Linked DNA regions of Styela clava. The protein of the gene in region 3 purifies or fractionates together with the protein of the main gene of each other region. This does not show direct contact. Links are inferred from orthologs where the notes say so. Each region holds a gene or a part of one and is shown on either strand. Other genes may lie near its edges.

Region 1 (7,130 bases), on a different chromosome or scaffold from region 3:
CAGACAACATTCTTGCTACTTGTCTTCTATCATCAATTTCAGCAACAAGTCGACCATTATATTCGGCTAAAAGCAGACAAGCTTCATCCACTATTGCCGATAACTTTTCTGCACTCTCAATATCTAAATTATGACATAAATATGTTATAGTAACAAGAAGGACTGATATTTCACATTCCACAATCTACTTAGATATACTGAAGTATGTTAATATAATGTGATAGCCAATGTGCATATGAAAAATTTTATGCAAAGCCGAGAGAAAACCATAAGATATAAGTAGTTCAACATGTGATGTTGCCTACAATTAAATATTTAGAACGAGAATTGTTTTATAAGTCTGATCACATAATTTAAACTGCACTATTTAGTTAACCCATGACATGGCAGCATTAGTATTACATCTCAATAAATAACATCAACTAGAATTCAGTAGACATCTCAGTACAATAGGTTTTCAGATGTAGAAAAACCTACCAGCTATCTTATCCAGTCTTGATATATCTTGAACCTCAGGAGGCAAACTTGCAATTTTTTCACGAACTGCTGCATCTGTAGAGGCCGCATTCTCCAATTCTGTTAGAGCTTTTACTAGATCTTCAGCCTGGATGATACAACAATATAAAAATAGGTTGAAGATTCTCTTGTTATTTTCTAAACCTGCCTGACAAAATTCTTATGGGAGTTATGAATATGATGCTTTAGGTTTGAAATTTCTTTCACGTTGAGGCTTAACTGTATGAATATCATATTACAGACAATGTTATTCTAAACATTTTGTCTTTCTCCTACTAGATGAGTCGGTAGATCTCATTCCTACGTTGGAAGGTTCCGGATTATCTTAATTTCTATGCTATAAAATTTTACCCTGAGTACCTCGTTTTTCTTCTGGCAGTCTTGTTTTGGATTGTTTCAGTAAATGTATGAATTTGGTGAATCAAAGTACAAAAACCTGATCATACTCACAAATATTTAAATTACTTCATTAAGCTACAGACTTTTACATACTGCTGCGAGTTTTCAAATGATGCTAAATAAAAAATCAACCTCTGGAGGATCCCTCGGTGATAAAGTTAAATAATCATCATCCTCTTCTTCTGTTATTAATTCATCGAGTCGGCTTTTCTTTCTTACAGGTTTTTCTTCTTCTGGAGCTTTTGATGATGAATCAGCAACTGCAACTTTCTTCGTTGGCTGTACTTTCTTCGTTTTCGGTTGCTTTGTTTGTTTTGATACTGTTGGAAATGGTCACAAAGTAATTTCACTATTTTTAATCATGGAATTATGAATTTACATGACCAAATCTTAAAACCCCAAAGTTCTTCGCAATATTCGAACAAACAAATATACTCATTTTTTATTATAATGCAGAGCAGCATCAATATGTATGAATCATGGATGAAAAATCCAATTTATTACCTTTCCCTATAGACTTCCTTATTTGATTGACATATTCCATTTCAAATACAGCCCTCTCTTGCCAAATGTCAAGAATACGAAGAACGGATTTCATTGTTTTTTCATCAGCATGTCTGAAAATAAATTTGTTTTGGATATCGAGGGATAAATAGCAATTATAGCAAACTAAGCATTACATTGGTAGATGTTCATCAGATAATTAAGTTTCCAATTTTATCTATACAATTTGCTTGTACCAGAATGAACATTTTTTTGAATTCCACAGATGAAATCTAAAATTATTGTGGATTTACATTGGAACTTATAAACGAAAAAAAAACATATAAAATTAAATAATACATAAACAAATGGTATATACTTAGCAACGTGAGTAAACGCTGTTATCAGTACTCCACCAAATGCTTTATGAAACTCTGGACCTTTCTTTTTGCAATTTTGCAGAATGTCATTTGCAAGGTAGAGGAAGGTCAACTTTTTGCTGGTTTTTGCTAAAATGAAGATATATTTTAATATGTTGTTTGAAAATATATCATACTTAGTTATACCCGATCCGTAATAAAGTTTCACTAGCCTACTTTCTTACAAATTGTCTGTTTTGAAAAAAAATGGGTTTACTGCTAGTCCCTCCTGTTCTTTTACAATAATTCACAACAGAATGATCTTATGATACTGTGATAAATAAGTCAAGAAAATTGTTTAAACTGTCAAAATCATTTCACATTACCTTTGATTAGTTCTGTTTGCCAAACTTGTATAATTGTTTTTGAATGACGACGGTGATGTATCAGCCACAAAGACAGTGTCTGAATGATCTGCATTGAGTTAGTCAATTCAGACAACTTGTCCACAAGTGCAGCTTCTGAGAATGATGACATGTTGGACCGTTACCTGGTCACCAACTATGTCTATCTAACAAAACCCGGAAACCAGGAATACAGCCAGAACCATGCAGTACTGTAACGAATAATATCAGTATATTAATATTATAGGCTAATTCTATACAGACTAAAAGATCAAAAGAAGGCAATTGTGAATTAGGCACTTTTCAGTCATTTTGAAAATTGGCAAAATAAGGCTGAAGGAGACTGAACTAACATGTGAACATGGGCTAGATTTTAGCCACACAAGCAAAGCCGTCTACGCACGGACAATTAGAATTAGGATCGCATTCTGTCATATAGGTCATTATAGGTACCGTACCGTACAGTTTTAGCTGCATTGGTACCATATTGTCCAATTTCAATTTCAGAATTTCTCCTTTTTAGGAAAAATGAAAACCCACGAGTTCAAATTTCAGATAATACTGTAAGTGTAATACAGTAATAAATGTCACGCCGTTAGTTTTATTGGCACCACTTTGCTCGAGATACGATACGGTAACAATGCATAATTTGCCATACCTATCTAATATCTATACTATTCATAAGAGAACCAAACTAGACAAATTTGCGACTTGAATACCTACTTTGGCTAGAATCAAGTCTCACGAAGTTATCATCTAACTGCAGAACTGGCAATTGAAATAGCCAGAGTCTACCGTGTGCGCACCAGCTTACCGGAGTTTCGAGGCGCAGTTCTTACCACTTCATGGCAGCTCCTGCCACGAACGTACCGCGGCGTCTCTTGCCATGGTTTCATCGCTGTATTACCGGTATATTTACAAAGTCATGTACAATATTGTAGTTTATCATGCGGAAATATATCGACTTAAACCCAACCCCAAATACATCAAAACTGTACTTATAAAAAAAGCGTTCCAACTTACCCGATATGGTACTCCTGAAGTATGAGCAGCAAGATGCCTCACAACCGGAACCCTAAGCTGATACACGACCTGAGTTCAGGTTGTGCGCCATCTTGGAGCGCATACTTCAGGAGATACCCTAATATTTATCACCATCAGTGGCAGCCCTACTATTACAGCCGACATGCCATGGTTACGGCAGCAAAATTGATGGTATTCGATTTGCTGTTAAAAAGTCAGTCGCAATGGGTTTGGTCCAGTCGTTGGTTTGGTCATAGCGCAATGGTTTGGAAATCCCGCCATGGTTTTAATGTAGCTCTAGACGCCACAAAATACTTGAAATTGCACTTAGGAGTTTCCGAGCATAGAATGTATTGGCATAGTTGATTCAAGTTTGTATGTATCTTAAACCACTTTATCATCATTCACCAATGCCGAATTAGTGTAGTTCTTCATGACTTTTGACTATCCAGGCCACTTCATCACATTGCATCCCACACGTTGTCTTTTTGGACACGTAGTGGACATAACGATCGTTTCAATATTATGTTGTTGTTGTTGTTCTTGTTCTTTGACACGTTCTTAAAAAGTCGCTTTTCTCTTCGAATACTGGACCAATTGCTTTGAAATTTTCAGTGGTTGAAGAATAAAATTTTCTCCAGAAGGCTATATTTTTTTTTTCGCTATGACGTCATCAAAATTATGTGACTCTACGTGTCCATATATTTGAGCATAGCTCTCTTGTTTTATAAGGTTTCTCATTGTGGATTCGAAACAGTTTTGTAAAAATAAATAAATGGTGAAAAATTAATAAACATAGAACATAGTCACGTATAATAAATAAATATATTCATAAACATAATCCAGTATTATCAAGTAATTTAAATTGTTCCATTGTTGATTCCAGATAAAGTTCACCATGTTTAACAGTAAATAGACATTATTTCACATGTTTTTTAATTATCGTTGGCAGAAAAATAAAAATTAATACAATTATTCATAGGTTCTTGCAGATTACGTCAGTCCTTTTGCGTTCAGCACATTTCCAAAATAAATGAGATATAAATTCCGGTGCTTGAGAACAAAATACACATAAATCATTTCCAGAAATATGTTTAATCCTTGGTTTAACTTTAACTGAAACATTAGTTTATAATTAAAGGTTTTTATATTATTAGATAATATTTTACAATGAATATTTAAACATGCTTCTTCCAAGCAACCATCTCTAAGAAACACTATCCTTTCACCACCACTTACCACACGTTATCTTTGTATCAGATTGAATGGATCATTATTAGCTGAAGTATTTTAAAAGTACAACATCCCGAAAGTTCCAAACATTCGTCAATTTTTTTCAATAAAGTTTGTGTTTTTTGTAACTTTTTTACGAAAGTGTGCTGGTGAGCGGGCACATGATTTTTCTCATATTTAAAACTGCATTAAAGATTTTGCTCGCTTCCCGGGATTCTCCATTTTTAATTTGTGTGTATTATTTATTTACCACCCCCCCCCCCAAAATGAAGTCCCCCCATGGGCATACTACTTCTATAATAGAAGCACTTCTCTATATCATCAACCAAGCAGTAAAAAGCATGGGTTCATCAATTATCCTAATATCTGCGCTATTTCAAATGTGATTAAAGCTAAGATATATAGAATAATATCGTAATTTTTCAAATAAATTGTTTCCTCTTTGAATATATTCTATTTCTATATTAAATATTAAGAAAAAATTCTGAATAGTTAGGTTGGTGTGATAGAGCTAGATTCAAGACTTTGCGCACATATATATTGGAATAAAACTATAAAGTCAAGTCATTTCTTTTCAGGGACTCTAACACTGCTTCAATGGATTCCTTAACGTTGCAATAAAAGTCTACTGACCAAGAAATGTTTGTTGTCCACTCGCACCGGAGGTGCTCTGTATTGTCACTGGCTATATATTGCCATATCTCATATTCTATTAAAGTCTCCCACTTGAATACTAATGAAAATTTTCAATTTGCGGAAACCTGTACCGACTTTTATTTTTATGTCTCTTAAATAATCATTCAAAAAATTTAAAAAATAGTGCATGACGACATTGCTGTAATAAAACTTATTTACAATTGGATTGTCTATTGCCATAAACATTATCACATTAATATGAAATTAAATATTAAATGCTAGAATAAATAAATACTATAGTTTAATAAAAGTAGATTGAAGATAAATTCAGTTGATGGAATTGGTTACGAAATTGCACTGATTCACATCTAGCTCAAATTAATTTATCATCCTAGCAAATTACTTAGCCTATATACGTAGGGTTAGTAACGTCATTTCGGCAGTATACATACTATTTTCGAAAAATAGTTTGAATGTCGATTTTTGGAATGCTTTCAGATTAACTAAATCAAGATTATAGTTTTTATTAAATGAGAAGGAATCTTTTCATTTATGCAAAGACGAAGATTGATATTCGTTGTCAATGAAATCATTTTTTCAATTTGTCACGTAATTATCGTCATCCCAAGAAAGGCATTTTTTCGAATTGCTGCACTAACGATGCCCTGGAAATATTGTTTCGGCAGACATTTTCGTCGTTTCTCGTTTGCAGTGTTCTTGCCGGAATATATTATGAGGTACACTATGGCTGAATATCTTTTCAGTCTATTCTCGTTAGCACTTAATTTTAGTTAACCGGCACCACGTTAAATTACGAATCGGGCACAAAGTTCGGATTATCATGGCTTCGATCCTCCGGTAAAGTTTTCTTGTGATCAACTTCAGTCATGGCGATTCCTTGAATTGCGTCAGCTGATTTTGTAGGCGAACACGTCGTTTTAACAGCGGTACTCTCGGATTCGTCGGCTTTCGGTGGCGGTGATTTGTAGGTCTTCCACGCCAACGCGAAAAAAAACACCGAAAACGCCTGTGGAACAAGACATATAATAATGTTTGAGTATTTTTAACGAGTATTTTTATCCTTCAATGCAATTAACGTATGGTATTGCAACATATATGAACGTACCTTCACCACTGTTAGTACAATCGTCATATACTTTGACATATCTTGGTTGTTATATATTTTGCAAGATCCACAGACTCCGCATTGCATTCCCCATACCGTACAGGACAGATCTAAAACTGCTCCGAGTATATTAGGCATGGGGACACTTCCGAGCAGTCGTAGGATCAGCCACTGAAAAAAATTTGTTGTAGGTGTTAAAACGAACGGTGGTTCAAATTTGCGAACATTTGCTTTCGCGAACATATAAAAAAATCAGCAATAAATGTGAAAACTTTTTGAAACACCTAATCAAAATATGTGGCAAATACCAGAAAAGAAGTTTAATTAAGTACCTGTATTCCAATTGCAAATGAACGCTGGAAATAAGGGACAGCCCGAAGAGAAGCCTGTAAATGATAAGTTGAATTATTTATAATAGAAAATTCAAAAAACATATAATATGTTTTGTTCAAAAATAACTTCCTGGTATATAGATTCCGTAACATTTCAAATATAGGTAGGAAATAAAGGTTGCAAATTTGGCGGTGGAATGACAGTCAATGTCAATTTATTGGTTAAAAAACATTTATAGATGGGTGTTATTGCATAAAATATAACAGTTTCGTATTTGTTGGAAAAGTCTTCTTACCTGTAATGCAGGTTGCGCACTTAAAAATATGAAAAACACTGCTAGTGCAATGATGACTGCAAATAGTCCCATGTTTTGACATGTATCTTGTACGCATTTTCCCTTAATTGCTGACGCCATTGAAACTTCGCTGATTGAGGATGAATCCAATACTCCTGAGCAGTTGTCAAAATTCTGTAAAAAGGATGAATTGGTTGGATCATATTGCTCCCTACTGTTCCGTGATACGTATCCAGGGGTTACGAGCCATTTCCGAAGAAAATTTCGATCCCTTGTGACAATGTCGTTAAAAGAGCAACATGAAACAACTCTGCTAAACTATC
Region 2 (7,860 bases), on a different chromosome or scaffold from region 3:
TTGGTGTGTCAACTGTAGCAGCCAGCTTGGGAAGCATTCTTGCGCCCATAGTCATTTCAACATCTCATTTATGGTTACCAAGCTTAATGTTTGGGTTGTTATCAATTATTGCTGGCGCGTTGTTTTTTCGACTACCAGAAACAATCAATAGGCCAATGACAGAAACTCTCGAAGAAGCCGATCACTTTTATGCCGGAAGGTTTGCTGTGTGCTACATTTTTCGCAAATACACTATCACCAACAACAGTAGGCCTACAATGATTTAAATGATAAAACAATTTCCTTTTTTGTTTCAGGAGTACACTGCGACAAAAGCAAAGTAATTTGTTTTCTCACAGTGTTTTATCGGTAGTCTCGGATTCTGAATTGACAACAACACAATCGAGCTAACTGAGGATACCATGTAATGGTCTTGCATACTCAAGGCAAAACTCCACAACATTTTTTTCACTTGCGCAATATCACTGCTACTTTTCAACCTACATAATGTTATATTTTCCTTTGATTTACATGAGCTAGCAATTCTTTGTTAATCCCTTCAAGACACATGTGCGAAGTTTGCGATCTTAAAAATGATGACAAAAATATATGCTAGTATTCATGGGAGATTTCTGGTGAATTTATTTGGCCGTTTTCAAGATTATTAGTTATCTATAATAAATTGAGTTTCAATGTATGGATTGTTTACCTAATATTATCGACAGACGACACAAATAATGATTTATTTACCTTATTTATTTGATTTTCGACGTCTATGAAACCATGTTTTTAGTTTGAGCAGGAGGTAATTCTTCTCAGGGGTCTCTTCTCTCCATAGTCACCCCCATCCATTTTATTTTCAAAATATAATGACCGCGAATCATTTCTTCTGGATGTTCAATAAACACTAAAAATTCAATTTACTTCCTAATCGTTAGTTACTTACAATCTGACCTATAGTTTCGGAGAGACAATGTGCTGATTGCCAGGATCGATAGTGGTCAAAAACAACGATTTTTCTAGAATTGCAATAGTTTTCAATATTTTGATGACTTCATCAAGTCATCGCTTACCACAAATCTGAAATTAGTTTGAATATCATTACTGAATATTATTGCTACTACTACTGCGCGAGTACTTTTGCGAATCCATCACAGTAATATTAACTTTTTCGTGCTTCCGTACGTGAATGATGTGTTCAAATTTTAGTATTGCAACATATTTGATATTTACAACATATTTACAAATTGATAAAAATAATCATTAGCAAGAACAACAACAACATGATCAATGCTCTAGCTAGATCTTGGATATGGACACGAAAGTCAAAATGAAGTAGTACCGGTATGCAATCTTTCACAGAGGACTACCGGTACCTCAGTCTTCACCACTGCGCCTGACCACCAGCTAGCAACGAAGGCAGACGCGGAACCGCCACAGGGTGCGCAATTTTTATATTTGATAACGTCATCGCACACACAAAACTAATCTTATAGAGTCCACAAAATATAGCCTTCTAGCGACAAATTCAATGTTTAACCACTGGTAATTTCAAAGCAATTGGTCCAGTAGATAATTAAAATAGCTATTTTTTTCTCAAGAAGTAAAGAATGATTAATAAGAGTAACAAAATGATCCATACCGGTATGTACATTTCGTGTACCACAAGGGAACTCCAATACATTGACACGAAAATCAAAACGAAGGGGCGCACTATTGCCGTTCGTTACTAATTACCATCCAAATCAACCAAACTTCGGAAAAATTTTCTCAAAATATCAATATATACTAGACAATAACGAAAGATTGAAAAACATCTTCCCTGCACCCCCCAGAATTGCCTACAGAAAGTGCCCGACATTACGAGATAAACTGGTTAGGGCCAAGCTGAAACCGGAATCACCAAGAGAAGTAGAAACAGGCTTTTTTAAATGCAACAGGAAATCATGCACTACCTGCAAATATTCAAAAGAAACCTAAACAAGCACTAGCAGCATCACAGGGATTCAATTAAGCAGCAATCCAAGAATTTCCCTGAAATTCGGAAAACGTCATATATCTAAGAACCTGTAAGAAGTGCGGTAAGCAATATATCGGCGAAACAGGCAGACATTTAAAGTACAGAATTACAGAACACATCAGAAGCATTAACCAAAAGAACAAAGATCTCGCAGTCGGCAAACATTTCAGTCAATTAGGCCATTCTATCAACGACTTTTTGGTAATCGGACTAGAAAAACTGTATCGAGATTAAGCATACCGACAAACAAAAGAACCTTATTTTATCAACAAATTCAAAACATTGGAACCTCTAGGAATGAATTTGAGAGATGGTTAAACTCCTGATTTATGTTAATTTGAACATTATATTCCGTTATGCGCTTATACTTGATTTTTATTCAACTTTTAAGTCATTATCTGACATTGTAGCCTTGACACTTACATGAACTCAACCAACGCCGCAGACGGAGTTACGGGAAAACAGCACGAAATTGTTTGCTTTACTTTTCAATTATTACTCACTACACTGTGGGATACTTATTGAGTACAATCCAAATCTAGCTTCCCTATTGTTCTGGCTCTCTCCCAATCTTAGTTATTTTTCTCTATCGGAAACAGACCAAACATTTGATACCATTATTTATGTGCATGCAATTGCGTTTCTTGTCATAGTTGTAAAATGCTTGTCTGAAGAAGTCTGACCTCGGTCAGACGAAACGTTACAGAAATATATTTGTGTAAGTGTGCAGCAAGACTCTTGAATTGAATAGAATAGGTATTTTCACTCTTGCTATAGCATCCTTGCGTTATACGCATACGGATCCATCTGCGCAAAGGCATAGAGCAAGGAAAGGTAGTTAGTTTCACGTAACCCCGATTGTTAGTTAAATAAACAATATGTAATTAAAATACGACAACTAAGTTCAGAAATTCTATTAGTCTTCAGGATTGGCTGTGGTATGCAGATTTAGTTAGTTTATGACACTTCAAGATGGAAATTTTTCTAGAAATTTCATTTTTTTATAAAAAAAGTTCAAAATCCAATTCAAAATAAAACGAATAGTATCGTGTGATGTATATATACATATATAATCAAGGATGTCAAAAAAGAATATTAAAACTTCATTTACTATGTTCACACCATAGCTTGAACATAATATAAAAGAATATGAGTGGTCAAATTTAATTATTATATTATTCCAAACACTCTCTGAAACCTATTCCAGTGTATTCAATTTCAAGGCTGGGTCATACATAAGAGGAGAGTTATTATAAATAATTAAAAATTACAATGTTATGCGGAATATCAACAGAACTAATATGATTCATTTTATTTTTGCAATGTAAGACCAGCACAAATACCCAGATGACAAATTGTAGATTTATATTTTTGATAGGGGTATGGATGTCCATAATATACCTACGTTAACAAAGTGAACCCCAATCTGAAATTCTCGGAAGTCAATAAGTACACAATAGGGTACTCCCGTAGTATGTGTACCAGATTAGGGTTAGACCATAATTTTATTTCGATTTTTTTATTATTTTAGTTCTATTACGAGTTCGGGGGCTGTCTGTGTTGGCCAAGTGAATATCCCCTGCCCATAGGTTTCAGTCCGAATTGATCCAAATAACAGACAACGAAATGCACTTAAAACCTCAACGAAAATATATGTGATGAAACCAAATTTCTCACCTAACAAAAAACAATAAAACAAAACGAGAATATCGGTCAGAGACCGAAGACTTATCGATCGAAAGTTAGGGGATCCCCAAAACAGCGATCTTACTCCATAATGACACCTTGTGTCCCATCACTAATTAATTGATAACTCGCTAATTATACGACATAAATCATCCAAAATCAAGCACATGCAAAATCTGGAGCAGATTCAATCTCGCCTCCGTGAGATATCACGTGCATCTAACAGGCAGACAGACAGACAGACAGACAGACAGACAGACAGACAGACAGACAGACAGACAGACAAATACCTATTAACATACTTGCCGATTAAAATCGATAAGTAACAAGCAACACTTGAGCAAGAGCGATACCACGTATTAGTAATAAGTCATCATGAAAATATTATAAATGCAATGAAATTGGAATTATGCGTCCAGTATCAACGTGGTTCAAAATACCAAATGATTCAAACTGCAGTATCAAATCTTTTGCAATACCGGTAAGTAGGCTACCTTCATCGTACCCCAAATTCCGGACATGGCTGAGCGCGAAATCGCTGAAATACAATTGCGAAAACCGCCACATGAGCGCATTTTTTTTTAAATTTTGGTCACGGCATCAAACAAAACTTCAGAGTGAAAAGCGAATCCCATTGAACCCACAGGAATTTGAAAAAAAAAAATGAACAAGAGAGCCATGCTCAAATATATGGACACGTCTGATTCACAAATGTAGTAACACAAGCGTTCCGAATCACCACTATATTATAACACTAGGTACCAGTACCGCGAAGTTCACCATTCCCCGCAAACAAATCTTAGCGAAGCGAGGATTACGTTCGCTTGTCAGCTGATATGCCTTTGCTTACATGCTAACTAACGAAACAATGTCTTCTGACCATTGATGAATGGAATATAACTGAAGATCCATTTCGTTGTTTAACGTACAGCACAATACGAAATAACCCTTTTTAATAGCCAAGCAAAACGGAAACGAATAACACGACACGACTTGCAACCAACAGGAGCGAGGTCCGGATGTTTTTTTTTTGCCGTCTAAAAATGGCGGCTTAAACATGTCACATGACCCGAGCAAGTTATCTATAGGAATAATTTTTTTGGGGGGTCAAAGGTCGGGGAAAGATTCATTGGTCCAGTAGTTAAATGAAATCAACAATTTTGAAAAAGATCATTAGGTCAATTTTGTGTCCACAATAAAACGACGACTACAAGACCTGCAAATCACGACGATTACAAGACCTGCAAATCACGACGACGGTGTGGCTCAACGGGCTAAATGTTAGGAATACGCTCGCAACCGCACCTCTAATTACTCTGCGTGGGTTCGCAGGTTCGAATCCCATGCAGGGATGGTTCTGTGCGAGAGGATTGCTGGACTCCTAGCCGTCGTTGGGTGGTTCACGTAACTAACCGCTGGTCGGTTACGGCTTCCTCTACTACCAAGTCCATGCTTCCGAAAACAAACAATACAGTAAAACTAATCCCATACCCGACTTGGAATGGTAACCGGATGAGAGGCCGTGGTTCGCCATATGGATACGCCGTCTTATCGGCTTTCCTCTCCCCCGGGATAAATATGTAAATCCTATCCTATCCATATAGTAAAAAATAATTCGAACCCTTTGACCTAGGTTGGGAAATCCCCCTTTTTGTTTTATTTCATATTATCTCCGTAATTGCCATCATTTTAGATTTCCTGGCTGCTTGATTAGAAAGATCATTATAATTATTATTATGGCGAGGTGAGTTTCAACTGCTTTTATTCATTTATATATATTATGAATAAATTTATTCATAAATATCGACAATCCAACGTGAGCTCAGTGTTGGATTTCGTGATCAAATTTATAACACCCATTTCTATTTTGACAATACGGCAATATTAATCTAGTTCATGTAATTCGATGATTGTAAACTGGTTTAACCGCCCAAAATCATCATTGTTAGTTTTTCATAAATGTGAAGAGCATGAAATACTGATTAAAAAATTTTTTTACTATCAAGATTTATTATTCATTGTGATACATTTTAACAGTCATTCTTCAATAAAAGAAGAATATGAAAAAAGAAAATTAGCAGAAAAACAAGCACATTCGATTGTAGAAAAACTCATCGAGGAAAAAGTTCAAAAAGATCAGTTTTTGTCCTGGGTATGCTTGAATTGAACTTATTTCACAACTTAAGTTTATCAATAAAAAATCATTTCTCTTGTATGACAGTATGATAGCACCTGTTATCCTTTAGATGTACTGATTTGAACTGCTCTAAATCTTTAATATAACGTTAACTCTTACAGATTTGTTTATGTTTCTACTCTAATCAAGCAGAAATAGGGGAAATATGCCGATGCTATGTTTAGGTAAAGGAAAGGATTTATTTTTGCTTTCTGTTTATCAATTGTCAAGCATCTATTTCCTATAGCAGTATAGTCTGAAAGCGAAGCACCCATGTTATATAAGGGTTGCACCCTTGTGAATACCAACATCCTGAATATATACTTTTGCACATGATAAATTTGAATTCTAAAATAAAATTCAATTAGTTAGGTAGGTAAATATTTTTATGAACATGATATGTAAAAACTTTATATACTATCTAATAATCAATCATAATTTAGATGGGTGATAATTTTAGATGTTTATATATATTAGTTTATATATACTAGCTGAAGTTGATCACCGGGCAACATTATACAGATGCTGTAGAAGAACGTTCATTATCCGACTTATGCGGTTATTGTCTATGCAAAAACAAGCTCAAAGAAGTTAGTGTATTGCTAGTTTTATTTTCTGTTTAAATTATGCATGCTTTCTTGTATATTCATGGTACATTAAACTCAAAATATTTTATTACACTTCAATGTGTGTCAGTGATTTCTTTTATTTCTGGGTATTTTGGATTAAAAGTACCAAAGGTCTTCTCCACAATAATCAATAATTTTCATCAGCAAATATTTTAACCTGTGTCAAACTTCAAAATTTAGAAGCCCGACCTAGTAATTTTTCGGCTTCTTGTTTTTGGTCTTAGATATTTTACTTTTCATCCATATGAACCTTATTTTATCTTGTTCTCTTATTGGTAATATAGAAAAAAGTGGCAAGTGTTTTTTGGATATAGATCAAAAGAAAAAGATGTTGCTTAGTAAAAAAAATCCTGAAAACGAAAACAAATATTAGAGCTAATGATGTTATGATCGTTATATATTTAGATATATTTCAAAACTCTGGAATCTGTGCCAAATTAAAAAAAATTTAGATGTCGAGAGATGGTAATCAATGTTGAAATTTCCGACTGAAAGGCATTAGGCTTATTAAGCATTCTGAACTGTTGAAAGTTCTTCAACCTATAGGCGGAGTGAAAAAATTTCGTCCAGTGTCTGGGGCTAAAGTTGGTCATTTGTTGATTGAAATTGCTTATTTTTAAGCATTGTTAAATAAATTGTTATTAACCATGCATTTATTGATTTCTTGATAACAATAGATTCCAACGCAGCAATATAAGATAAACAAGAACAAAGTGTTTGATATAACTGAAAGGAAGAAATTTTGTAGCAATCGGTGTTACGCAATATCATCCAATATACTAGAACAAATATCATCAACCCCATTGTGGCTACGAAATCATGACCTGTAAGTGTAGTTTCTCATTATTTACTGACATTTTTTTACCCTGTTTACCTCTGCTGAGTCCTATTAGCATTAATGGGAGTCACAGAACTAAAGATGGGCAAATAGATTAAAATCCTTTATAAACTTAACTCTGATTATTCTTCAATTATTGATTTCAAAGATTTATATTATTACTAATAATGTGTCTTGCATACAAAAAAATGAATTACCGTAAATTAAATAGCCTACATTGAAGAAAATAACAGATTTTTGATGACACACATGTGACATGAATATGAATGAGCCTTTGACTTCAGTTTTTAAAATTATCTATGTATTATCTCTTTGATATCAATAACTGTGTGAAAATGTATTCTCTTTCAACCTATATCAGAAAGTTGTTTTGTGCATGAAATGAACAAAAAGTCATTTTTGTCTAGATAGTTTCACTTTAGTGTTATAGTCTTCACTCAGAGTAAGGCTCTGTCACAGGAACCGTTATAATTTCTTAATATTCTCTCTTAACATTCAGAATGCCAGATATCACAATTCCAAATATTGATAA
Region 3 (7,816 bases):
TTTAAAAAGTAATGGTGAACTCATCATCTTCAAACGATTGGAAAATCCCGAGAACGAAAATGTCCTTGCACCAGAATTAAAACAAGAGCAGTGGAAAGTTGTAGATGGGTACAGGATGTGCAACAACTGTTCAGCCAGACGATGTATCAAATTACAAATGTGTCAAAAACTCTGGCGACAACGTGGCAGAAATCATCTGGAAAAAATTGGTCCTAAAATGTTCAACTATGTAGATCCACCTGAAGCCAGACAAACTAGTGATGCAGAAGGTGGTGGTACTTTATGACCAAAAGATCGTTTCTCAGCATCATCATGCGATAGTTAGTCCATCTTGCTGCAGTTCATGGCTTAGCTGTGTTTGGAGGTCACTGAGCTTTTTCTTAAGAACAGAGAGCCCTGACAGAATGATGTTCTCTGGTTTTATGGCTCCTGTAGATTCCACATTGACGAAAAATTTGTTTGCTTTGCCATTCGGATCAAATCTGAACAAAAATAAATTTAATGGCTACTGTAGCTCATTGTGGTTTTAATAAAACCAAGCCACGACAACTTACTCTGCTTGATGTCTATCATCATCATCTGTGAGATCACTGTGTTCGCTCCTAGGCCATTCTTCGGGTTTTGGATAAGTTGTGTGACGAAGTGCGTTATCTGGGTCATATTCGAAAGCACATGCACAAACTGTTTGCCATTTAGCATGTTCCTTTCCTATATTTATATTGAAGTTTCATTTATCCAACGAATGTTTCTCATCGAAAGCATTATACAGTAGACAGACATTAAGAAACCCGCTTACCAAATCCCTTTTTAGCATAAGCTTTGAATTTTAGGCATTGTCCTTTTCTTAATTTAACAATCAGTATGTCATCTTGTTCTCCATAATTTTCAACCTCGTCTCCTCTACTTCTCGATGTAACTGGAACAACCTTAGTTTAACATGCAAACGGCATTCAATTCATTTGTTACACAAAATGTTTATGTTTTATGCAATCACTATTAGCCAGCAAAATAATGGGAATGTTTTAAACTGGAAAAAAATATTTGGATATGATTATGACCGAGACATTGGGTAGAAAAGTCAGATAGTGTTTGTTCATTCCATAATAAATAAATGTGTATTTCTCATGAAACTGCAGAATAAATAAAATAAAAAAATAGCATCTAATGGATAATTTTGATTTCAAGAATACCATTTTACCTTTGGATTCATGGATATTAAATCACGAGTAGTAACTTGTCGCGTGCTTTCACTTGTACATTTGACATCGAGATAAAATTCCACTGAACATTCTGGGCAGAATTCATCGCACATACAATCTCTTGAGTACTGAAATCAGGATAAATACGTTCTTCAGTAAAATAAAAAATGATCACTTTGGTTTGAATAATCTTATGTATTAATTACCGTAGTACATCAACTAACCAGGTATGATACATAGAATGAGGAACAATGAGAGATAGAGAACAGACAAAATGACCTAATCGCATGGGCTGGCTATAGGTCCCGTTCAAATATGCTTGGTTGAATTTTACTTATTGCTATTTACCTGAATTTTGTCCACTATCTCATCGGATGTTAATGGAATCAATCCAATCCTATGTGATAAAAACTCATCATTCAATACTGAAGAATTTTCCTCAATTTGAATCCAGTCAATCGCAAGTGTGGGAACCTTAAAATATATTTAAATAGAGTAATGTGAGGCGGGCAGTCACAACAAACAAACAATTTTTCAAAGAAACATGTCTCATATAGAATATTAGAATGGATAACACTTCACTACTTTTTAATTCACCGATAGTCCAGTTCATAAGATTGAAACATGAACTCTAGTAATCTTTATTGTTGAGTCTATGCCATGCTTATAGACATTTGTATTTCATGCATGCGTACAGGTAGAAGAATGAAGTTATTAATGAATGAGTTATTAAAATGTGCAAAGGTTAAAAGTTGAGGATGACTCTGGGATAGCTTAGGAGTTGACGACTGTAATGGCCATGGAAGCAAATAGAAAGCGAGTGTCGGGTATGACTAGACAATGTGATTTATTGTGCTAAGTATTAGAAATTCGCTCGCCACCGCACCTCTGATTATCCTGTGGGAGATAATTATGTGCAAGAGGATTTCTAGACTCCTCGCCAGAAAAGGGTGGCTCCACGGCTTCCGATATGGGCAATAAAAAAATAAGGTAATTCAGCAGCTAGGGTACCGGTATACCCTTAAAGACTGTGTCGGAGTACGGTATCTCTAAGTCGTTCTATGTTACAACAAGATAGGACTTCAAAATTTATCCAGGGGGAGAGGATAGTCGATAAGACAGCTTTTTCATATTGAATTGCCTACATCACGTTAGTGCATTTATGTGGCATGTTCAAAACTCATATCAAGTTTAGGATAGGATAGGATTTACATATTTATCCCGGGGGAGAGGAAAACCGAAAAGACGGCTTATCCATATGGCGAACCACGGCCTCTCGTCCGGTTACCATTCCAAGTCGGGTATGGGATTAGTTATATTGTTTGTTTTCGGAAGCATGGACTTGGTGGTGGAGGAAGTCGTAACCGACCAGCGGTTACGTGAACCACCCAACGACGGCGAGGAGTCCAGCAATCCTCTCGCACATAACCATCCCTGCATGGGATTCGAACCTGCGAACCCAACTTTGGTTTAGCCAACTCTCCGGGTTCTCCATCCTGTTCCTCTCGGTTACCGGTATCAGAAATTCTCACCTCTGCAATAAATACCCGGCGGAGTGAATTTGCAACACTGAGATCTGTATCTTCAATAACAAATTTCACATTGTCTTTCGTAAGTTCCGTGATTGCGATTGTAGGCTGATTGGCGTAAGGCATTGTATTGTTTGTCTTCGATTTGTCAGCGCTAAACCCAGAATAATAAAAAAGCACACAATCGAACCCCTCAATATACGCCCCTGGAAAGAACAGAGCAAATGCAAAATTCGTACATAATTACAATTTGCCGGGTTGCATTTTTTCTATTTTCTGCTGAAATAACTTTTTTCTCATCTTAATGCGTCATTGCCCTTTTTCTTCTTTGTGTTTACGGACACCAAGTGGTCACGTAGCGAAAATGGCGACGGATTGTGCTCAGGGTCTTGTGCGTCTAATATTTTTCCTTTCTGTGTGGTAATTTATTTTAGTTAGAATAATTTTAAGTTATATTTTTGCCATGGATTAAATAACCGTTCGGCAGATTTTTCCTGGTATGAAAATCAGCGTAGAAATAATAATGTAGTAGATCCAATTTTGGCGATATGTCTGTGTGTGCGAGAATCTAAAAACTGTTTGGATTTTTTGCATTTCGCGCAACAATTTTGTGTTGAATTAAATAAAGTTTTTGGAATGTTTAAGTTTAAAAGGTATGCAATCTGATTGTGCGCGTTCTCTCGTGAGATCCTTTATATACGGCGATGTTGTGACTGTGTGATGTGTATTTAAATTCATCTACGATTTTCCGACGCCGTTCAGTCAGTCGTTAAGGAAGCGTAAAAATGCTATACGGGGTACTGAGATTTCTGAATTTATCGCCTTCGTTTAGCTGTATATACTGAAATTGTTGCTTCCTTATTATCTAGTATGAAATTTGCTCTTAAATACCTGCCTCAGCAGTGCAAAAGTAAAACATTTTTATAATATTAACCAGCATGAAGGATGATAAACACAGACCACCCTTATACTTCAGTACTTTGAAATTTTGAGTTTAGAATTGGGTTGAGTTTAGGCATAATCATTCGTAATATTAGTCAATTATAATCTTAATCAAACAAATTCAGGAGTTCGTTGATTTTAATAAAAATTTGCTTTCCTCATGACTGGTGTACCAATTCCATCTTGGTAATTCTTGTCAAATTTACTAAAATTTGGTGTAAAATGGAATGTTTACAACCCGAATCATGTCAACACATAAAAATTAATAAACTACAGATGAAAAAAGTATTTCTGTGATTGGATCAGATACCTTGTCCCACTTTGTAAGCTCCTTATTTAGGCTTCTGCTAGTTAGCCAAATCAACATATCAGGATGAATGATCATTTTTAAATATCACTAAATTGAATAATCTTTGTTCCAATAAATTGAAGTTGTAAGAATATTTGATGACAGTGATGGTTGAATATTTTTCCGGCTTTATTCAAAGCGAAGTTGTCTCATGGAAATATACAAAAACATAAAACTATTTACCGGTAAGCCTACCGGTACATGATATTCAATGCAAATGATGTATTGACAATTTAAATTTTTAGTAAAGCATTTTGATATCTTCTCAATGTGATCAAATTCTTAATTTATGTACAAGATTGTGCAAATACACAACAGAATTACAACTCAACCAAATGATTTTGTTTTTCAATTGACATGCTAAGGAAATTGAAATATCTCTTCCCGGCTCGGCGGTGTGGCGCATCATGCTAAGTGTTAGGAATATGCTTGTCACCGCACCTCTGATTACTGTTCGTGGGTTCCGATCTCATGCAGGGTTAGTTATGTGCAAACGGTTTCCGGACTCCTCGCCGCCATAGGGTGTTCATATAACCGCTGGTCGGTTACTGCCTCCTCCACCATCAAGTCCTTGCTTCCGAAAACTAATAACTGGCTAACTAATCCCATCCCGACATGGACTGGTAACTTAATGAGAGGCCATGCTTCGCCATATGATTAGGCTGTACTTTCCTCTCCCCCGGGATGAATATGTATATTCTATCTAATTAGATCCATATTAATTTTTCTGAATTTTGTTTTCATATTTAAAGATCTTAATAAGCTGCTGTATGTAAAAATTCAATATGTTTGATGATGAATTCTTTCCTCCTCCAGAGGCTCCAGTTTTTGAGCCAAACGAAGAAGAATTTGCTCATCCACTTGGATACATTGCTAAGATCAGACCTATAGCAGAAAAAGCAGGCATTTGTAAAATACGGCCTCCACCTTATTGGCAACCCCCATTTGCTATTGACGTAGAAAATTTCAAATTTACACCGAGAATACAGAGACTTAATGAATTAGGTATTCAAACTCGGATTCGACTTCAATTCATTCAGAAAGTAGCTAAGTTTTGGGAATTACAGGGTACTACATTCAGACTGCCACACATTGCCGGCTCTCCTTTAGATTTGTATGGTCTCCATGAGACCGTAAGGAAATTGGGGGGATTTGAAGAAGTCTGCAAGAACCGCCAATGGAATGCCGCATGTGTAAAGTTAGGAGTTGCAAAAAATTTTTCTGCAACAATAAAACAACATTATGAAAGATTGCTGTATCCATATGACATAATGGTTTCTGGCGTTCTTCTTGAGAGCCTTGATGGCTCTGGGAAACCACTTCCAAGTTTTTCAGGAAGATATGGAGGGAATAGCAAGGTAAAACCACAGAGAGAGCAAGAAGATGAAAGTGAAGCTGCCCGCCAGAAAAATAAAAGAAGAACTATAGATGATCCATCTCTTGTTGTAGACGTATCAAATAACAAAGAACTTGCCAAATTGCAGCTTTTTGGTGCAGGCCCAAAAATGGTAGGCCTGGGATTAATTGCTAAGAGAAGAAATCGAATAAAATCAGAAGAGGCAAATAAAAAAGAAATTAAAAGTGAACCTGCACCCGCTACTATCAAAATAGAACCGAAGAATGAGGATTGCAAAAATATATTTGATTTGATGGATTACAACGGGGAAATAGAAACTAAGATAAAGCCAGAAACTGCAATTCCTACCGCAACAGTTGACACAACCTCAATAAACACACGAAAGAAGGGTTCAGAACAGCTCCCATACTCCATTCTTGATACAATGGGTAATTGTAAAGTTTGTCTGAAGGATCACAATGACACTCAACTTTTACTCTGTGATGGATGTGATGACAGTTACCATACCTACTGTCTGATTCCACCATTGAACCAAGTTCCCAAAGGGGATTGGCGATGTCCAAAATGCTTGTCTAAAGAATGCAACAAAGTCATAGACGCTTATGGTTTTGAACAAGCAAGAAAGCAATACACACTACAAAGTTTTGGAGAAATGGCTGATGCTTTTAAGTCAGAATATTTTACAAAACCTGTTCACATGATCCCCACTGAGTTGGTTGAAAGAGAATTCTGGAGATTAATTGGATCAATAGAAGAGGATGTTGCAGTGGAGTATGGCGCCGATATTCATGTTCTTAATCACGGAAGTGGATTTCCTAGAATGTGCGACAAAGAGAAACATCCACTTTCTGCTGAAGAAGAGGATTATGCAAAAAGTGGATGGAATTTAAACAATCTACCAGTTGCGAAACAATCATTACTAAGTTATATGACTGGTGACATGTCAGGAATGAAAATACCATGGGTTTATGTCGGTATGTGCTTCTCTGCTTTTTGTTGGCACATTGAAGATCATTGGACATATTCTATCAATTATCTTCACTGGGGAGAACCAAAGACTTGGTATGGTGTTCCAAGAGAAGATGCAATCAAACTGGAAGAAGTAATGCAAAATACCGCACCTGACCTATTCAAGAACCACCCTGATGTTATGCATCATCTTGTAACCACTATCAATCCTTCAACTCTGATGAACAATGGTGTGCGAGTTGTCCGAACTAACCAATGTGCGGGTGAATTCATTGTTACCTTCCCCAGGGCATATCATGCAGGTTTTAATCAGGGATATAACTTTGCAGAAGCCGTGAACTTTTGTCCAGCTGATTGGATACCTATTGGCAGACAATCTGTTGCTCACTATCGCGCAGTAAAAAGAGCATGTGTGTTTTCACACGAAGAAATTTTATGTAAAGTCGCCAATAATCCTGACGTTTTAGATGTTCAACTTGCAGCTGCTGTTTACAGAGATATGCTTGCTATGCTGCAAGAGGAAAGAGAAGCAAGAAAGAAACTTCATGAGCTTGGTGTATGTCAAGCTGAAAGGGAAGCTTTTGAGGTTGTACCCGATGATGAACGTCAGTGTTTCATCTGCAAAACAGCATGCTTTTTGTCCGCAATTACATGCCCATGTAGACCAGATCACCTTGTCTGTACGTTCCATGTCAACAGGCTCTGCAGCACTTGTGATCCAAGTAAATTTATACTTCGATATAGATACACATTGGATGAATTACCTCCATTGCTTCATAAGATGAAATTGCGAGCGGAGTCTTTTGATACATGGACTACAAAATTAGGCGATGCGTTTTCAAGATTTGAAAACAAGTATACATTACACGAATTGAAAGAATTGCTTGAAGAAGCTGTGCAAGGGAAATTTCCAGAAAATGATTTGCTGCATCAATTGCAGTCAGCTGTACGGGAAGCCGAAAAGTGTTCACGAGTTGCCCAACAGCTTGTTGTGGTTAGAAAGCACAGGACTAGGCAAAAAGAAATTCATTCCACAGCTGGTATTATAACTCATCCAAATACTTGTTTATTGACGCTGGAAGAAATAAGGGCTTTTTATCTACAACTATTAGGTTTACCATGCACAATTCCAAACTTGGATCAGGTTTCTGATTATATAAAGCGAATTGAAAAATTTGTTACTCAAACTGAAATTATTCTGCAAGAGGAAGAACCTTGCAGTCATAACATTGCTGTTTTGATAGAGGATTCACTAGATTTTGATCTGGAACTTCCACAGGTGACGTTACTACACCACGCACTACAACAAGCAAAGTGGTTAGAAGAAGTCAGATCTTGTCTCCTTTTGGACGATGAAATAAATGATTGTGATCCTCCACCATCATTGATAACATTGGAGCAATTAAGGAAGTTGATAGATTCTGGAGTGTCTGTGTCACCTAGGCCTGCTGTTGAACGTGCAATGGCTGAG
Region 4 (7,118 bases), on a different chromosome or scaffold from region 3:
CAGAAAACTAAAATATACACTTTTTTGTATGATTGAAATGACGTTTTTTTTGGTAAAAAAGAAAAACGATTGGGACTTGTGATGAGGGGTCAAATTTCGCAAGTGCCTGATTTTTCATTTTTTTCGATTACAGTTGCCACATATTTTTGCAATACTTTTCATAAAATCTTTTTCGTCAGAACTTACTAATCATTGCTTTTTAAAGGAAATTCCTAGTTCTACAACAATTTCAGCGTTTTTAATATTGCAATGAGCAATAGCATTTGACAACATATAGATAACCATCGTACTTTTTGGATTTATTTGAAATTGAATAGGAATGATAAAATCTGGCAACCGCAAGCACAAAATACTAAAATCAGGCACTTGTGAAATTTCAGGCACTTTGTAAAAAACCATTTCCCGATGTTTTTGATTACTTTAAAGCCGAAAATCCAAATATACATATTTTGTATGACTGAATTTGGTATTTTTATTGTTCAAAACAAGAAGAACTGTCACTGGTAAAAATGTGGCAAATTTAGCAAGTGCCTGATTTTTTGGTTTTGTCAATGATAGTTGCCATATCTCTATAATTTTTGTCTTTTTTTTATATGTTGTTTCCCTATTGCATTATTTTATAAAAGTCAATGTTTGTATGAGAGCTCCACTTAGCATAAATGGAATTAAACTTTTAACATCAGTATCTACATCCGGAAATCGGTATTTAATTAAACCAATCACGCTTTTGCAAAACTATTTGAATATTGTAAAGTTTGAATGACATTGTGTTGTTTATTTTTTTTAAATTCAAAAGTATGACATATGTATTATTTAAATACGGGTTTAAATTTGACAGATCTGTAAAGAATATTAGTTATTCAGACGACATCTTTATAGTAATGTTCGGAACCCTTGAAATTGGTTCAAAACTTCTACTAATTTGTTATAAACATTTCGACGTAATATATTACCCAGGTAGCAACAATCGCATTGTTATAAAGAACCTAATTTGTCTTCTGGCAATATTAGTTCGAAATTCCAGTTTTAATTGTTATCGGACGACGATTTTAATAATGTAATTTTGGCCTATGACTTCATATAAACTACATAACAGAAACAATTGACTTATGTCGTATAGAATTTTTTATAATACGTATCCAAGTTACATTATCCCCTAATAGAACATAATTTACCGTTCACAAAATGTATAAAAGCCTGTGCAAAATCCATATTGACAACCAGCGGTGTTCAACCACGGCTACAATAAAGATATTCAATCACTTGCTGTTGCTGTTGTATAATATTCTTTACAACCTGAAGATCTGACTGTAATATCTTTTCATGGATAGTTTATGGAATGGATTTCATGGATAGTTTACGTAGAATTATTTGTACATTATTTCATGCTGTAACAGCTAACTGTAAAACACGTAGTTCCTAAATAAGAAGAATGGCTACAGGATTGTAAATACGAGATGGCAATGTCACCTAAACAAAATTCACTCGGCGAATGACATCAGGTAGCTGATATGCCCAAAGTTAGGCTTAAAAGCATCGTTAAACGAATGTTACAATAAAAATCCTTCAATATTCAACACGCCAGTAGTCAGTCAACGAATTTTTTTGCGTTATTCAAAAAGTTACAAATATATAAAAACGTAAAACAGTTTTTGTTTTTAATGTCACAGAAGCCGTATTAATCTCTCGATTATAGATCTTTCTTCATCAGTAATTGGGGATATAAATTTGAATTTAAATTTATTGAGGAGATAAAACATTAAAAACACAACTTCACAAAGGAAGTGTATGAGTGAACACTAATCGAAGCTTTCAGATTAAAAATTATTAGAAATATTGAGTATCCAATGAAAATCCTTACTATTTGTTCTATTTTGACATGATATGATTTACGTATCTTGCAATTAGGTAAAACCACAGATCTAAGAATTGAAAAAAAAGAAAAAGAATTTTAAATGTCAGTTCTGAAATTGAACATGAAAAGGTTTTGTGTATATTTTGCTACTTTTATATGTCGGGCGTATAGTTTCTTCATGTCGCGAAAGAGCATCAGAACAGGTTGTGCAGAAAATGGTGCTGCCGTAGTATGTGCACAAAGTTGGCACATAACCCGAACATAGTATGTGTACCAAGATAGAGGTAATAGGTTGTGCGCCATCTTGGAGCACATAGGCTACTACGGGAGCGCCCTGAAAATACCCACATTTGCAACACCGACTTACCGAATACAAATTTTACACTTCCACAATTTCGCTTTTGATACTTTCTCACATGTATCATGATACCAACGCTTGCAAACGAAGCATTGATATTGTACGTGCTCCCGTATACATTTCGCACTTTAACAGACACTCCAATTATTATTTTCCAGAAAGCAAAATTCATGCATCGGAATGTCAGAGTATATGAGTGGCGACGATGCAGTGCGACAACGTTCCAAATGTGATTGAATTTTTGTTGACTCCGACTTGTTCAATCTTCCATCTGGGCGTTTTGAAGAGGTATGTACTCACTTCCAATATAAATACTTGCACCACCTTCGGGCAGACGTCGAATTGAAATTAGCGATAAGAATAGCACTCAATATACATCGGATTGCCTAAAAAAACATTTTACCGAGAAAGCAAAGTATAGTAAGTACTAAGTTCTGACGAAAATGATTTTATGAAATATATTGCAAAAATATATGGCAACTGTAATCGAAAAAAATGAAAAATCAGGCACTTGCGAAATTTGACCCCTCATCACAAGTCCCAATCGTTTTTCTTTTTTACCAAAAAAGACGTCATTTCAATCATACAAAAGAGTGTATATTTTAGTTTTCTGCTTCAAAGTAAGTATGAACATCGAGAAATAGGTTTTTACAAAGTGCCTGAAATTTCACAAGTGCCTGGTTTTAGTATTTTGTGCTTGCTGTTGCCAGATTTTATCATTCCTATTCAATTTCAAATAAATCCAAAAAGTACGATGTTTATCTATATGTTGTCAAATAATATTGCTCATTGTAAAAACGCTAAAATTGTTGTAGAACTAGGAATTTATTTTAAAAAGCAATGATTAGTAAGTTCTAACTCAAATAATTTAGAAAAATTGTTGCGAAAATATATGGCACCTGTTATCGAAAAAAATGAAAAATCAGGCACTTGCGAAATTTGACCCCTCATCACCAGTCCCAATCGTTTTTGTTTTTTACCAAAAAGACGTCATTTCAATCATAAAAAAGAGTGTATATTTTAGTTTTCTGCTTCAAAGTGTATAAAAACACCGAGAAATATGTTTTTACGAAGTGCCTGAAATTTCACAAGACCACTGTGAAGCTAGCAGCATTTTCAGCCAGAATATTTTTACATATTGAATATAGTTTCCACGCGCATATAATGTTCACTTATAGTTACATATAAAGATTGAAAGATTGCACAAGTGCCTGGTTTTAGTATTTTGTGCTTGAGGTTGCCAGATTTTATTATTCATATTCAATTTCAAATAAATCCAGAAAGTGCGATGGTTGACCATATGTTGTCAAATGGTATTGCTCATTGCAATATTAAAAACGCTCAAATTGTTGTGGAACAGTGAATTTGCGTTAGAAAGCAAAGAATAGTAAGTGCTGACGCAAATAATTTAGGAAAATAATTGCGAAAAAATATGGCAACTGTCACCGAGAAAAATGAAAAATCAGGCACTTGCGAAATATGACACGCCTCCATCAGTCACAAACGGTATTGTATTTTACCAAGAAGTTGTAAATTCAACCATACAAAGTGTTTATATTCAATTTTCTGCTTTAGAGTAATCAGATACATTGTAAAATAGGTTTTGACCAAGTGCCTGAAATTTCACAAGTGCCTGATTTCTATATTTTGTAATCAATGTTGCCACATTTTACTATTGAAAAATTATTTATACCCTAATAAATTGGAAATAATATTGTTTTATTGCAATATAGGGATGCAAAAATTATTTAAAGTCCAATTATCTTGTCAGGTAAATTGGAAATCCCAATGACGTACGGTAAAAATAAAAAAATATCAAAGTGCCTAAAATGGTGCCTGAAAAAGTGCCTGAATTCGCGAGTGCCTGGTTTTAGGGAGACCCGGTTATTGTTTACCATCATCTAAAGCCCATGAATTTTATTGTTCAAATGAGTGGTCGTAATACTTACTAAATACAGCGCGAAACAGCGCAGAAGAGAGGGAAACATTTTTCTTTCATTATTTATAAGCGTCCGTAAAATTTTAAACAATTTGATGGGAAACAGTATACAGTTGTAGGGAATGATCCGAGTTTATATCAGTAATCTTCAATGTCTTTAAATAACCTAACAATACAGCAATGCGATTTTCTCTGAATTATATATTGAATTTGTTAAAGTACAGTACTCTCTATTTGGCAGACCAGCTTTTCTAATAATCATTTTCAATGCGAACGTTAATCACATCAGCAAATAGGATTGGAGTTGAGTTCGATGATCGCATGGTCGTGACTCGTATCACTCCCTCCCGTCCATATCAAAGCAATTTTTATTTTATTTTCGTTACATTTTTTTTCGTATTGATGACTGTTTGTATCTTGGTTGACAAAGTACCAAATATCTCTCTCTTTTTTATACGGAACCAGGTTCTGTGGATAAAAAAAGGGTTCTGTGGATGTGATCACCATTGTACTTGATTAAAGTGTAGTAATACAATTTTACACATGCCCTATACAACTATACAATAAATCTGATGTAAAGTATTGAAGAGTAGAAATATTTTTTTATCAGCCGACTCATTTTATGTCTTTATTTTATAATTTCATATTTTTTTAATCCATACTGACAGTTCGACCACAGCGTAAAAAAAATGGTCGGAGCCTGCATACTGACCAACACGAATCAATGTTTAAATATTCACTGTACTGTATTTCTATAAAAATCTGTACCTATTGTCCTTTCTTAACATTGTTTTGTGGAAATAAAATCTCTCTCTCTCTCTACCGTTATTATACCTAGTGAAAGAGGGGTTTGTACTGTTATAATTGTGTTTTAATGTGGGGGCTATTTTTGCAATGGGAAACGGTCCCTTCACATGTTCTGTGTCAAATTTAGTATTTCAATTGGCATATTTTATGATAACAAATATAATGAAATAAACATATATAATCAATTGCACAGGGGTTGCTTAAGCTTCTGGAATGTTTCATTGGGTTCTGCCCCTACCAAGAGGTTGAAACCCAATGGTTTATCAGGTTGTATAATTATTATTCTGTAATATATTTGAAATAATCTTTTCAAAGATGATGACCAACTTTTGATCGATATATTCATGATGATGCATGAGACAATCAGGTTAATCTTTAGTCTGTCAACCTCTTTAATATTTCGATATTGTTTGAACTAACATTAAATTTCATTTTTCCAGCTTTAAGTCATAAACAAGTAAAATGAATATAAGTTTGCAAGGTGGCGATCACCAGATTCCTAGCTCCGGATTAGGTAGCCATCCTAATAATGATCGTATGAATTTTTCACATGATTTTTTCCAACAGCCTGCCACAATGGAGACACAGCAAATGAACATTGAAAAATCTGAACCTCCTGTGTGCACTTCTACTGGGATATATTTATTAAAAGATCAGGTTGAGCCATCAGTTGTATCGGGAAGCACAAATCTTCTAGCACATTACAATTTAGAAACAACATATAACAAATTTTGCGGCGGAAAGAAAGTAAAAGAAAATTTAAGTTCATTTCTTCCGGATTTGCCTGGGTTTATTGACACACTTGCAATACAAGACAATAGTAGTTTAAAAGCGTTGATCGATCGACCCCCTGTTGGTAATAAAGAAATTCAACCACTATCACAGCCTTTATTATCAAGTTTCCGTTTGCATCCTGGGCCTTTGCCTGATCATTATCGTTCCTTATATCAATCAATTGACTCAACACGACGAAAAAGCAAGCATCATAAAAAACGTAGGTCAGACCCAATGCAAAATACTCATATTAATGAAGGAGAAGAATTTGAGCCCAGAAAGCATAAAAAGAAAAAACATGAAGATGGTGAAAAGAAAAAGAAGAAAAAAGAAAAGAAAAAGAAGAGGGAAAGAGATAAAGAAAGAACCTGATTTGCAGGACACACAAGAATATTTTTTGCCATCAAGTTCAATCATTCAAAAAAACTTGAGGGCGAAGTGAATCACCCATTTGGGACTAGCGATTCAAACCGGCAGATAGTTCTTGTTAAAATTGCAGATGGAATTTCAGGGCAATCAATCATATATTATTTGAATAAAACTTGCTGTCCCATTGATTCATCTTCGTCAATAAACTTGAACAAGAAAGAGCTATTTATAATAAGATGCGAAATGATAATCTCTTCTCAAATTATAGTCTTACTTTATGTTTGAATATCTTGGCCCTTTGATATTTCAATTGTACTGTTTTGGTCATAATTCTAGTCAAGAGGATTGTATGTACAGGTCTATATGCATCAAATCATATGTCGCTAATGGATTATGACGGGGGCTCTTTCATCTTATCAGCAAATATGCTGTAAAAACGGAATTTACTGTGATAATATTGATAACAGTTTTGCTGTAAATTTCATGTCATTTGCTTGAGATCCTGATTGATCAAATTTGGAATAGTATTTATATTCTATTTCAGAATATTACAGTTTATCTTTTCACTATATCTTAGGCCTTATTTTTAAATTATGTCCATCTTTTTTGTATTTTCTTTTTTAGATACTAAACAGCTCTATTGTTAGAATGAATTATGATTCCTCCCATGATATCAGTCGTAGACTTTCTAAGGAATTATCAACAGACTTAAATAGGAATTCTCAAGCAATATTGGAAATACTGAAAGATCTTTTGAGAATGTGTGATGGTGAATTACTTGAGTCTACACGTGTGTTGAATTCGGTTATACAGCTGACTCAAGTTAAAGATGTACGGGTGAAAAAGATTGTATATTTGTACCTTTCATTTGTTGGGGAACATGATTCAGAAATTTGGTTGCACATCACAAACTCTATATCAAATGACTTGTTGGATCCTAATCCATTTGTCAGAAAAGCTGCTATTCTTATTCTGACTGATTCCCATTCAATATCGTCTTTACTTAATGAGACGAG

The links.
Region 1: the proteins of DNA-directed RNA polymerase II subunit RPB3-like (region 3) and regulation of nuclear pre-mRNA domain-containing protein 1B-like purify together in Homo sapiens (affinity purification with mass spectrometry; 3 studies listed by BioGRID and IntAct, counting the BioPlex papers as one, with this or other methods). This does not show direct contact. The link is inferred for Styela clava from reciprocal best matches to the Homo sapiens genes POLR2C and RPRD1B.
Region 2: the proteins of DNA-directed RNA polymerase II subunit RPB3-like (region 3) and putative RNA polymerase II subunit B1 CTD phosphatase rpap2 purify together in Homo sapiens (affinity purification with mass spectrometry; 3 studies listed by BioGRID and IntAct, with this or other methods). This does not show direct contact. The link is inferred for Styela clava from reciprocal best matches to the Homo sapiens genes POLR2C and RPAP2.
Region 4: the proteins of DNA-directed RNA polymerase II subunit RPB3-like (region 3) and mediator of RNA polymerase II transcription subunit 19-like purify together in Homo sapiens (affinity purification with mass spectrometry; 4 studies listed by BioGRID and IntAct, with this or other methods). This does not show direct contact. The link is inferred for Styela clava from reciprocal best matches to the Homo sapiens genes POLR2C and MED19.

Annotation. Positions count from the first base shown.
Region 1 is NC_135260.1:17,609,124-17,616,253, reverse strand, and holds the start of regulation of nuclear pre-mRNA domain-containing protein 1B-like, read right to left. Parts: upstream 3,023-7,130; 5' UTR 2,881-3,022; intron 2,422-2,880; exon of another isoform or gene 2,374-2,421; 5' UTR 2,295-2,373; coding exon 2,144-2,294; intron 1,908-2,143; coding exon 1,778-1,907; intron 1,533-1,777; coding exon 1,420-1,532; intron 1,236-1,419; coding exon 1,048-1,235; intron 605-1,047; coding exon 478-604; intron 124-477; coding exon 1-123. Other genes in the region: solute carrier organic anion transporter family member 4A1-like, read right to left, coding at 5,865-6,080, 6,180-6,350, 6,512-6,565, 6,808-6,981. UniProt on the Homo sapiens protein: Interacts with phosphorylated C-terminal heptapeptide repeat domain (CTD) of the largest RNA polymerase II subunit POLR2A, and participates in dephosphorylation of the CTD by RPAP2. Transcriptional regulator which enhances expression of CCND1.
Region 2 is NC_135259.1:4,730,513-4,738,372, forward strand, and holds the start of putative RNA polymerase II subunit B1 CTD phosphatase rpap2, read left to right. Parts: upstream 1-4,843; 5' UTR 4,844-4,944; intron 4,945-5,378; 5' UTR 5,379-5,421; coding exon 5,422-5,429; intron 5,430-5,722; coding exon 5,723-5,837; intron 5,838-6,352; coding exon 6,353-6,451; intron 6,452-7,167; coding exon 7,168-7,316; intron 7,317-7,827; coding exon 7,828-7,860. Other genes in the region: organic cation transporter protein-like, read left to right, coding at 1-199, 297-390.
Region 3 is NC_135263.1:18,252,073-18,259,888, reverse strand, and holds the start of DNA-directed RNA polymerase II subunit RPB3-like, read right to left. Parts: upstream 3,009-7,816; 5' UTR 2,855-3,008; coding exon 2,732-2,854; intron 1,674-2,731; coding exon 1,548-1,673; intron 1,328-1,547; coding exon 1,199-1,327; intron 1,161-1,198; exon of another isoform or gene 927-1,160; coding exon 797-926; exon of another isoform or gene 709-796; coding exon 555-708; exon of another isoform or gene 483-554; coding exon 311-482; 3' UTR 287-310; coding exon of another isoform or gene 1-286. Other genes in the region: uncharacterized protein LOC120341062, read left to right, coding at 1-286; lysine-specific demethylase 5A-like, read left to right, coding at 4,805-7,816. UniProt on the Homo sapiens protein: Core component of RNA polymerase II (Pol II), a DNA-dependent RNA polymerase which synthesizes mRNA precursors and many functional non-coding RNAs using the four ribonucleoside triphosphates as substrates.
Region 4 is NC_135257.1:12,133,437-12,140,554, forward strand, and holds mediator of RNA polymerase II transcription subunit 19-like, read left to right. Parts: upstream 1-4,102; 5' UTR 4,103-5,421; coding exon 5,422-6,105; 3' UTR 6,106-6,727; downstream 6,728-7,118. Other genes in the region: AP-4 complex subunit beta-1-like, read left to right, coding at 6,751-7,118. UniProt on the Homo sapiens protein: Component of the Mediator complex, a coactivator involved in the regulated transcription of nearly all RNA polymerase II-dependent genes.